Linked DNA regions of Bombyx mori. The protein of the gene in region 1 purifies or fractionates together with the protein of each later gene. This does not show direct contact. Links are inferred from orthologs where the notes say so. Each region holds a gene or a part of one and is shown in the gene's direction. Other genes may lie near its edges.

What was found.
Region 2: the proteins of DnaJ-1 (region 1) and endonuclease G, mitochondrial purify together in Homo sapiens (affinity purification with mass spectrometry; 3 studies listed by BioGRID and IntAct, with this or other methods). This does not show direct contact. The link is inferred for Bombyx mori from reciprocal best matches to the Homo sapiens genes DNAJA2 and ENDOG.
Region 3: the proteins of DnaJ-1 (region 1) and nuclear migration protein nudC purify together in Homo sapiens (affinity purification with mass spectrometry; 4 studies listed by BioGRID and IntAct, with this or other methods). This does not show direct contact. The link is inferred for Bombyx mori from reciprocal best matches to the Homo sapiens genes DNAJA2 and NUDC.

Annotation. Positions count from the first base shown.
Region 1 is NC_085110.1:7,563,895-7,567,704, forward strand, and holds DnaJ-1 (DnaJ (Hsp40) homolog 1), read left to right. Parts: upstream 1-1,374; 5' UTR 1,375-1,401; coding exon 1,402-1,470; intron 1,471-1,580; coding exon 1,581-2,738; 3' UTR 2,739-3,288; downstream 3,289-3,810. UniProt on the Homo sapiens protein: Co-chaperone of Hsc70. Stimulates ATP hydrolysis and the folding of unfolded proteins mediated by HSPA1A/B (in vitro).
Region 2 is NC_085126.1:6,520,518-6,524,793, forward strand, and holds the start of endonuclease G, mitochondrial, read left to right. Parts: upstream 1-1,403; 5' UTR 1,404-1,581; coding exon 1,582-1,794; intron 1,795-1,980; coding exon 1,981-2,183; intron 2,184-2,510; coding exon 2,511-2,634; intron 2,635-2,847; coding exon 2,848-2,960; intron 2,961-3,543; coding exon 3,544-3,724; intron 3,725-4,182; coding exon 4,183-4,276. Other genes in the region: probable phenylalanine--tRNA ligase, mitochondrial, read left to right, coding at 608-775. UniProt on the Homo sapiens protein: Endonuclease that preferentially catalyzes the cleavage of double-stranded 5-hydroxymethylcytosine (5hmC)-modified DNA.
Region 3 is NC_085128.1:8,582,029-8,585,685, reverse strand, and holds part of nuclear migration protein nudC, read left to right. Parts: intron 1-397; coding exon 398-555; intron 556-2,520; exon of another isoform or gene 2,521-3,200; coding exon of another isoform or gene 3,201-3,241; intron 3,242-3,326; coding exon of another isoform or gene 3,327-3,657. Other genes in the region: uncharacterized protein LOC101746542, read right to left, coding at 3,201-3,241, 3,327-3,657. UniProt on the Homo sapiens protein: Plays a role in neurogenesis and neuronal migration. Necessary for correct formation of mitotic spindles and chromosome separation during mitosis. Necessary for cytokinesis and cell proliferation.

The DNA of each region.
Region 1 (3,810 bases):
TACGTTCAATGTCCGACTTTCATCACTATCAAGAACAGAGTAAAATGTAGACACGATAACCAGTTTATTTAGGTAAACAATATTTAAAATAAATTAAGTTAGGTTTAGAAAGATTAGCCTCATAAAAATAAATATTAAATAAAATAAAAAAACGTGCGGTGAACAGTTAAGGAAAAGTCTTGCAAACAAGTTCTCGAGATAATTTCCATTAACCTCGAAAAGGCGTTCGACCGAGATCTGCGACACCTTATCTGTGAGCTTAGCTTAGCTTAGCTCCATAAATACATGTATTTTTATATTTCAACAACGTAAATGCCTTTACTAGTGGTAGGACCTCTTGTGAGTCCGCACGGGTAGGTACCACCACCCTGCCTATTTCTGCCGTGAAGCAGTAATGCGTTTCGGTTTGTGGGCACTTAACACCATGTGGGCTGTAAGCTCGTCCATCCACCTAAGCATTAAAAAAAAAAAAAAAAAAAATGCCACCACCCACCTAGTTCTAAGTCTAAATGTAAGTAGTATCAGTTAGTTATTCTCCCAGTGGGTAGTGGCATTGATTGAGATTATATTTATTAAAATCATTATTGCACTACGAATATTTTAATATAATTTCTATATTATTCTTTAATATTCTTAACTGCTTCCTATGCCAACTTTCTCAGATGTACAACATAAGAATTTGGATGGCTTATTTTATGATAATGTGTCTTGGATAACCTCAGAGGAAGTTAAGAGAATATCTGTTTTATTAATTTCATTTAATTATTCTTTTCGCATATCAGGCACGGCTATGCCTTTAGTTAGAAAATATTGGCTGTATAGGGTATATTTCTTGTGCTTTTCCAGATGGATGTGAAATCACGTTTACAGAATCCAACAACTAAGGTCTAAAGATATTTATTAGGCACAATAGCATTATATTTTCACAATTATTGAAACTTTTAAAATTTTTTGGTTGGTGCTTCGGTTTTTTCTCTAAGGTAAAATAAATTTTATGTATTCACTTATATGTTAGTGTATTCGTTAACATTACAAGTGAAAGTAAAAGAATGTAAACAATTTTATTTTATACCGACAAATTTTTTCATTAAATATTTCTCGATTTGTGTGTTCGTATTTTGATTTTGAAATTTTTTATTTTTATCATAAGGATTTTGTAGTAGCGACAAGATGGGTTTAGTGCTACTACAGGCAGTCATGAGCGATAAACCAAACATTTGACGAATTCGAAATATATATTAAAATTTATTCTGTTTGGACCATGGACAAAATATCGATTTTATGCTATGATTCGAATTGTCAAAACGGCACAGCGCGCCTCTCTAAAACAAACCACCTTTTTCTAGTTGTCATTTAGCTAGGATTTCAGAATTCTTTTAATCCTCTACATCACGGGAAAAAATGGCTGATAACAAATTATACGAGATTTTGGGCGTTTCTAAAAATGCCAGCGAATCCGAAATTAAACGAGTAAGTTTAAATTCGTATTATTTAAATATGTAAACCATCACACACCGATTTCGTTACAAATTAATGCATGGTTACGTTTATTCCATTGTCTCGTTTTAATATTTTTTCAGAATTACCACAAACTTGCTAAAGAGTTCCACCCGGACAAAAATCCTGCAGCTGGTGATAAATTTAAAGAAATAAGTTACGCATATGAAGTGTTATCCGATCCTAAGAAAAGACAAGTGTATGACTTATACGGGCTCAAAGGACTACAGGAAGGCGGCCAAGGAGGAGGGTTTCCGGCTGATGAAATTTTTGGTAATTTCTTTGGTAACCTCTTTGGAATGGGTGGGAGTAGAGGATGTGGTCAAGGCCGTGGTCCAGTCCGTGGCGAAGATACCATGCATCCCCTTGCAGTGACATTAGAAGATTTGTATGCTGGGAAAACTACAAAATTGCAGCTCAGCAAAAACGTAATTTGTGCCCACTGTAAAGGTGTGGGAGGAAAACCAGGTTCTCTTATATCTTGTAAAGATTGCCGTGGACAAGGAATTAAAGTGTCATATCAACAAATTGCACCACACATGACTCGGCAATTTCATTCACGCTGTCCATCCTGTCTCGGTCAAGGTGAAACATTTAATGAAAAAGACAAATGCTCTAAATGCAAAGGAAAGAAAGTTTTGAATGAAACAAAGATTTTAGAGGTGCACATTGAAAAAGGTATGAGAGACAATCAAAAAATCTACTTCAGAGGTGAAGGAGACCAGCAGCCTGATACTGAACCTGGTGATGTGATTATTGTGTTACAACAAAAACCTCATGAAAAGTTTAAGAGGAACGGAGATAACTTAATAATGAAGCATGAAATCACACTTACTGAAGCATTGTGTGGTTTTGAATTTGTTGCTAAACATTTAGATGGAAGAGATTTGCTCATCAGACATTTACCTGGTGAAGTTATTAAGCCCGGTGATGTTAAATGTGTACAAGGTGAAGGAATGCCTATCTATAAAAATCTTTTTGAAAAAGGAAATTTCTATGTCAAATTTGATGTTGTTTTTCCTGAAAATCATTTTGCTAATGAGGAACAGTTAAAACAAATAGAAACTATTCTGCCCCCACGTCCTGCTTTTGTTATGCCTACAGGTGAAGATGTAGAAGAGGTTAATCTAATGGATTATTTCACACCTAGTGAAAGTAGCAGAGGCAGAGAAGAAGCCTATGCTAGTGATGATGAAGAACACATGCACGCTGGCCCTGGCGTTCAATGTGCTCATCAATAGTAAAATTTGTTTTATGTGCAATTCAAATTTACAGCAATTTATTATAGGTAGTGTAATATAATTTTACAGCACTTACATTTCACAGATATTTAAAAAAAAAATACTGTGCTAACAAGGGCTGAATTGTAATTCTTGCAACTTTATCCTTTTTATTTTTTGCAATTTTTCTGATTCTTGCTTTTGTCAGATGACCAACAAAATTTAGATAAATAGTTGGATTTATAAAAATATTTACCTTACGTAATAAATTTAATCATTTTTCGGTTTTGCATTTTCATCAAATCTCTCATTTTTTTATTGACTAGAAATAAAATCTAAAAAAGGAATTGGTACTATTAATAAATGAAAAAGACAAAACAAGGATGTTATATATTGTGTACAAAATAATTGATAAATATCAATAATTATGGACAGTGAAGAGCTCTCACATACATTATTTTAATTTTTCTGTTCTCAAAACATGACAGCGCTGAAATGCAAGTGTTTTATGTAATTCATTCCAGGGACATTGTATGGCTGAGGCTAATTATAATTAAAAAAGTAAATAATACTTGTGTAAATTTCTTTCGCACTCAAATTAAAAACATTTACAAGATCAACTGGTTTCACAGATACAATTCCATTACCTTAATACTACGAGACAGTTCAAATTTGTGGCATCTAGTAATCATTATTTCAATCAACCTCTTTTTTTATAATTGCCTTTGTAGGCAGATGAGCATATTGCCCACCTAATGCTAAGTGGTGACCGTCCCTCATGGACGTCAGCATTCCCTGCCAATCCAAGTCTGCCTACCATGGAGTACTCTCCGCAGGCCTCGTTTGAAGGACATGTCATAGCGCTCAGGAAAACTGGGAAACACGAATAATTCCTCAGAGCTCTCCCCATGGAAGATACGGTAAAAAGACAGAGAGAACCGAAGTCCCTCCGCAGAGTCCAGAAGTTCCAAGCGATCCGCGAGAACGGGACTATTGACAATCCGAATGGCCCGTCTCTGTATGGAGTCAAATGGAAATAGCTGGTATTTGGGAGCAGAGGTAGGATCCATCTGAAGCCGGACCTGTGCTTTGT
Region 2 (4,276 bases), on another chromosome or scaffold:
GTTTATCAGATATTTATTTTATTGTCTGTTCAAATTTATTAGTAACTTAAATGAATAAATTCATGTTAACTTGAGACTTCAACTTTCATGTATCAAGTGGGGTAGTGGTATGGTGTTATGACCTCTATATGCTCAGGTATAGCTGTGACTATGAGAGTTCTTCTGACCAGATATCCTCCACATAGCAACAAAAAAGGTGCGTGTACTTATGTACGCGCGTAAGAAGTTATACTTTATTTTTATTAAATTTATTTCTTTTTTTTTAAATTAAATTTTAATCAATTTGAAAAAAAATGGATTAAACAACATCCTCAAACACGCATGTTGGACATCCCTTTTCTTGACATCGTATAAATTCGGTAATTCTCGGTCCGGTTCGGAAAGTTCACCTGCGGCTATATTCAGACTCGCCAAGTTACATAGGTCGTATTGTAATGAGCGATTTAGTGGGCAACTTCATTCTGTTAATTTTGTGTCACGGTGCGCGCGCATCGCATAATTTCACTCATCAATTTTTCATAACGCGCCTAAAGAAGTATAACTTCAAAAAAAATACACACACACATTGAAGACAACATTATTTTTTTGTTTAAATTTTGTGTTGCAGGTGAAATTAAAGGACAAGTTTATACATCCGAAGACCAAGAAGCATAGTCTTTGTTACAGCATTGTGTATAGACATCTAGAACGTACTCTTACACAAGCTGAGGTAAACAAAATTCATAAACAAATAGAAAATGCAGTGGTCAAAAATTATAATGTAGTCATAAGATAGTAAAAAATTTAAAAAGTGTTTATTGTTTTCATTTTTTATTCACAAATAATGTTTAACTTTCCTGTTTTTAATCCTGTTAAATTTATCTACCTTAAAATATAATGTTACTTTGAATATTCCAGCACTGAACTTTGTAATTTTTTACATTTGTCCAGAGAAGTTTTCTGTCATAGCATAAACAAATAGATTAATAATCAGTGAACGTGTAAAAAACTCAATATAAAAGACAGATTAGAAAAAAAAAATACGCATAATATTATTAGTTCTAAGAGACCATAAATAAAGGTCTATGTGTGTATTTAAATTATTGCTATTGTTGCCACTTTTTTTAATTTACAGTTTGTTAAAGTAGTTTATAAATGATGATATATTTTGATATCAGTGTACCAGTTACCTATTTTAGAAGTCTTGGTCTGGCATGGTAATTTTAGTGTTTTAATAATAAAGTAAAAAATATTGTATTTGTCATTTTACTTTGATGTTATTTTGTAATCCATCTTTTTATTTCCATTTAATTCACATATCGTATGAAAGTCATTGGGTTTGACCTTTTATTGTTATTAGCTTGGATTGACTATGTTCCTTTTGCCTACTCAATAGGACAAATAAAAAACATTATGTATACAGATTATAGTACAAGATTCATAGATTAACTAATAATTCTTATTTTTTTAATTTAAATTATTTACATAACCTCAAAGAATATGTACTACTAATTGAGACTTGCAGAATTAAGTACAAATCATAACATTATTTTCGATGCAGTTCCTGAATTAACTGTGGCTTACAATATTTCGTTAAAAACGATGATTCGTAAAAAAGTGTTTCATTTAGCTCAATTAAGTGCTATCGGCTTGACTGGATATTATATAGGACAATGCAATGGTAAAAATACTACTCAAGATTGTATAGAGGTCGATGGTAAACTCCTGACGAGCTTACCAGCATTGCCTGTGTTCGGAACTGTGTCTGCCGCCGTGCCATACACTGAAAGTGGTGGTTCGAAGGACACAACTAGGGTGATGAAGCCTTTTTCTATTTAATTAAAGAAAACTATCTAATCTATCCCTATATTTAAGCATAGAAAATAAAATATAATTTCTTAATATTATATAACATCAATTTATTATTAACATAATAACAATTTGGTGTCTAGTTAATTTTATTATATAATGGAATGTTGATAAATGATGGAACACTTTCAGGTATCTCAAATAATGAAATATGGCTTCCCCGGCCTCGACAATATTCGTTCATATGATGATTATGTGTTGTCTTACGACCGTCGCACCAGGGTACCACACTGGGTTTTTGAACATCTAACAAAAGCACACATTGCCAAAAATGATCAGGTTGATAGGAGTAAATGTGACTTTATGCCTGATGAAAGTATACATCCATTCTTTAGGTAATAAATTAAATAATCCAAATATAGATTTAAATTTTTGAGAGATATTGAGATATTTGTATACTGGATAATTTTCTGAGAATTTATAGTATTAGCCAACACGGGTAGCTGCAAATATACCACTTAATGTTTCACAGCTGCTATAGATCATAAACTACAGCCAATAACAGTACATACTTTGAATTACAAAGCTGTTGTCCCATTGAAATTAGCCAATTTACCAATCCAACCTAAATGCTAAGAGAATTATGCGTGGGATTCAGTAAAATATAATGGATTTTCATTTATATTGCAATAGATTTATTCTACTAATAACAAATGTTGCAGATCTTTAAATAGTGACTACAAAGGATCTGGTTTTGATAGAGGTCATATGGCTGCGGCCGGAAACCACAGGCTCGCACAGAAACATGTCGAACAAACCTTTTACCTAACTAATATGGCTCCGCAGGTAGGTATCTCTCACGAAGTATACAGTGATTAAAATTTACTTAGTATTCAATAGATTTTCTAACAATATAGTTACAAGATTTTCTTACAATAGACAAAAACCTTCTGAAACGATGTTTATTTTAAGAAGTAACCAAGGTTTCGGAAGTAATTGTTGGAAAATCATTAAAATGAAATAATTCTGTGGTAGACTTCAGAGCTTTAATTTTTTTAGGTTGGGGAAGGATTCAACAGACATGCTTGGAATAGACTTGAGAAACATGTTCGTAAATTAACCAAATTGTATGATCACGTATATTGTTGCACAGGACCATTGTATCTTCCGAGGTAACAGCACTGTATAATTCTTTAAATGGCATTTGAACATGCAATATTTTTTAATCGCTGTGGGATTTGCTTTGCGGATTGCTCAGAAGCTCATCTTGTGTTATTTAGATACCAGTGCTCTGAGATACTCAATGAGAATATCATTATCCAATTCAATCATATTACATCAAGCTACTTACAATGTACTAATGGCTGTCTTGCCATTTAAACTGTAAGTCTAGAATAGACACGAAGGTAGTGACAAAGCTAATGGTTTCATAATAACAGTAATGCCCTTTATGACATCTATACTAATATATAAATTTACAGTGATTTTTACGGATGTTCCATTATAACTACTGAGCCATGCATCCGATTGACTTGAAACTTGGTATTAATGTAGAAAATACATGTACTTAACGGATAGGCTAATATTTATATGAGTGTTGGACTCCCTACACCAGTTGCGGGGGCGTTAATGATGAGAATCTTTGTGGGGGTGAGAAATAAAAATGTTAATTTTAAATGCCCAGCGAAGCGGACGGGTACAGCAAGTAGCTCATAATAGTTCAATAACATAGGATTGACAATAAACATTTTTCAGGAAAGAATCCGACGGTAAATCGTATGTTCGTTATCAAGTTATAGGAGCAAACACAGTGGCGGTACCAACTCATTTCTACAAGGTAGTCGTGGGCGAGGCTCCAGATGGTACACTGGATATGGAAGCCTATGTCATGCCCAACCAGAAGATACCTGATGAGACACCAGTGTCTTCTTTTATGGTATGTCATGCATTTTAAAATTGCTGAAAGATGTGGCCCTTCACTCTATAGCAGTGCAACCAACAAACTCTCCATGTTAGGATATTAATTGGTTTAATACCTTTCAAATCTGTGTGCATGTTTACTTTAGATGAGTAGACAAGCTCACAACCCAGCTGGTGTAAAATGGTTACTGGAGCCTACACACATCAAATATTGTCACCCACGGACACATGATGTTGTTGTAACTTCAATTATATTTTATAAGATGTGCTCACCCTTCAAACTTGTTTGTATGACTATGTAATGTATGTGGTGTCTATGTAGTAGTGATTATAAAATAATATCCAAATTGATTGATTACACGGCAGTATTCATAAATTGTGAAATATGGTAATGAACTGTGAAAACTTCCCTAGAATTTGTACTCTATTTGAGTTATGCAATGAATATCAACACAAAATAAAATTTGTTTTTAGGTGCCTCCAGAAACTATAGAAAGGGCGGCTGGATTGCTATTCTTCGACAAAATACATAGAAGTAAATTAAGCAGAATAAATGGGAAGAAAGTAT
Region 3 (3,657 bases), on another chromosome or scaffold:
GTATGTTACCTAAAGGACTCTCAGCACTCAGTTTCTTCTATTGATATTAGACTGTTTGCACTGCTTACAACCATCTTTGACATAAAAAACGAACTGATTCTTTAAGTATACCTGCAGGAATACAGAATACACAATAAGATATCGGTTAAAATCAAATTGAATAAACTTTGTAGAAAAAACCTGAGATAAAATATGAGAAATATCAAGTCCCTAAATTATTAAACTTAAATTTCTATCATTTTAGATTATCATTTCTGTTTGGATTTTGATTATGCTCATGTTTATAAGTGGTCTTAAAAGGACTTTATTTGTAACATATTGACTAGAGCAAGCACCATCACACTCCTAGGCATAAATATAATGACACCACATCAGTATATTTCCTTCATATATGCAGATGCAGAAGTTGGCAGTGGTGATAGCAGTGATGTTACTGAGCCTGCAACGCCCGAAGAAGATGACGATCCCAAAGAAAAGGGGAAGTTGAAACCTAATGCTGGAAATGGATGTGATCTGGAGCACTACAAATGGACACAGACGTTGGAAGAAGTAGAGGTGAGTCATTGGTATTAAATTCAGTACCATAGAGTTTATTCAGTTATTATCCATTCTCTACTTAAATATCCGGATGCCTCCAAAGAACACTACTCTAACTCAAAAATTTGAAATTTTCGTTTTTCACGCAAATCGCTTCACTATGTTAAAAGTATTGCAATTAATCATTATTAATGGGGTTCGAAGCAAGAGTAAATCAGCTAGCTACACAAAAAAACCATAAATATATCTGCAATAATAAAGATTTTATCAACTTTTTTCGTTTAAACGCTCCTCCTGTAAATCTACGAATTTGGAGTTAGCGTAGTGTTCATTGGAGGCATCGATCTAGTAAAATGCTTATTATATTTTTAAGAGACTCAATGGTGAATAAACATTACATGCTTCGCTGTACATGCATAACTCTGTATAAACTAATAGCTGTTGATACATGCACACTGTCTAACGTGCGGTCTTTCTATTGAGAGCCGTAGATATTTGCAACACAAAAAACCTAGTTTTGTGTGCTGTGTTAGTTCAAGTTGGTGTTAAACGTTTACTGCAATGAAATGAATTGAAAATTTCATGTGACCGCCACTTTTGAGACATGATTTCTAAATCTTAATTGTATTGAATACCTAATTTATCTTATTATCTAATTAGGTACCAAAATACTTAATACACTGCTGTGCTTTCTAAAGATACTAGTCGAAAACTACAGCGGAGACACAGCAGAGTACACTACTTTTTCTTTACATAGTTCAAATCAAAGACAAATTTGTATAGTGTACAATAGAAGAATACAACAGCTTTCTCCTTTACTTTTGATCATACAACACGTTTGTTTACCGAAACGTCTTTAGCTACTTCATCGACAACCTTGAAATCTCAATTGCTTTAGAATAGACTACACCCTAAATAATTTACGAACTACTCACGCCCTGACGGGTAAGTCGTACGTTGTACTCGTATCGAATTCGAATATACCACATATTTAATAAAAACTAGATGATGACCGAGCTTTGCTCGACTTTTTTTTTTGATAACGCCATCTTGTTGTGTCTATAAAGCGGTTATTTGCCCACAATAAAAAAAAATAGTATTATTATTCGCCGACAGATGTCGGGAAGAGTTGATTATTGAAAACACGAATAAAACAACATTTTCTGAAAATAAATCGTAGCTAGATCGATTTATCGCCCCCGAAATCCCCTGTATACTAAATCTTATGAAAATCGTTGGAGCCGTTTCCGAGATTCAGATTATATATAATAATATATTAATATACAAGAATTACTCGTTTAAAGGTATAACATATATTATCACAAATTTCTTTTCATGATGAAGAAAATTGAGTCATAAAAATCGAAATTGTTAGCTGGCACAGGTATCTCTGGAGTATTACTACGAAAATTTGTCACGTTTTGTAGTGTGATGGCTGGGACAGCTGTGTGCTCAACCTATCGGCAAACGTAGGGGCTCTGTTCAAACTCCATACAAATTTGAGTTAACTTTTACTCGATCGAGAAGTTAAAAAACTCGCACTAAGCACACTGCTGTGTGTCTGTGGGTCTCGGGCGGTGCCGTTTGGGTTGTGATATCTATGGGCTTGGTGAACCAGACGAGCCTTGAAATCCCCCAAAGGCAACAAATAAATACTAAACCAGCCACATTGATATTTATCTCATCTAGAAAAAAAAAAAATTTTTTTTCATCGCTTAGATTGGTCGACGAGCTCACAACTCACCTGGTGTTAAGTGGTTACTGGAGCCCATAGACATCCACAACGTAAATGCCGCCACCCACCTAGAGATATGAGTTCTAAGGACTCAGCGTAGTTACAACGGCTGCCTCACCCTTCAAACCGAAACGCATTACTGCTTCACGGAAGAAATAGGCAGGGTGGTGGTACCTACTCGGGCGGACTCAAAAGTGGTCCTCACAAGAGGTAAGAACCATTATCTGCTACTTAAAAAAACAAATTAGTTTGAATAATAGTTTATTTTGTTTCATTATCACAGTTCAAAATATGTAACAAATTCGTGTTTCATTGTAATCGTTGTTCACTTGAATATCAATTAATATTACATAAAATTACTACATTCGCTGGCGAAAATTACATCAAAGTTGCAGTTTTTCATGAAAATTACGAAAAAATGCAAATTTTATTTTTCAGAACATTGATGCAAATGCAGTGTCGTTACTAAAATTACTTATTGCTTAAAAACTATTGTGGTATATTAAAATAGCTTGAATTTGAGATACAATTAGACTAATCGTCAATATGAATAAAATAAACTTCTAACAATTTACACTAATAATAAAATACCGTGTACATCAAAGTTTAGACTAAGATTAAATTAATGAAAAAAAAAACAACTAAACTTTAAGTTACAATAAATAATAGGCTTTTTCTAATTTTATTTACCTAAATTCCAGTAAACTGGATTTTTATTGCACTAATTCATGAAATATACGTAGTTGCTTATATAAAACAAAACAGCTTGTTGAAATTCTGAAAGAATATAGTTCACAATATAACGAAATTTTTTTTTTCAATTTAAAACATCGTGTATCAAAATTATCTAAACATTTGCTGTTAAACTACGACCAAATAGTAACTAATAAGCTGGTAAAAACTTCAAAGTTCTGGTCTTCTTTGAAACTTATGAATATTTGTACATGCCGGTCTCCTTGCGCATTCGCACTGAAAAAAAAAACAAGACATTAAAGTTAATTTGCATTACTGAAAATGAGTTTATAGAAAATAGTTTTTATTTAATAATACTCACTTTCGACAAAGCATATCGCTGCCAGTATACACGCAGAGAACAATATAGTCATCGTTATCACAAGGACGGTTATCTGGTGCGAGTGATTACAACAGCAGGATTTGTTCTCCTTGTTCGGACATTGCTTCGTATAACCATTTACAACTGTGAAGTGAGTTGAACTAGCTATAGAAGTGGCGTCTTGGTCGCGCGAGCATTCCGTCTTCACGCCACTCCAAATGGATTCGTTGTGATCGTGTGGCTCCTCGGGAATCGCGACCACTGCTTCTGGAAGAGCGTACTTGCGTTCATAGCCGCCGAACTTGCTATGATACGGACCCAGCTCCTCAGT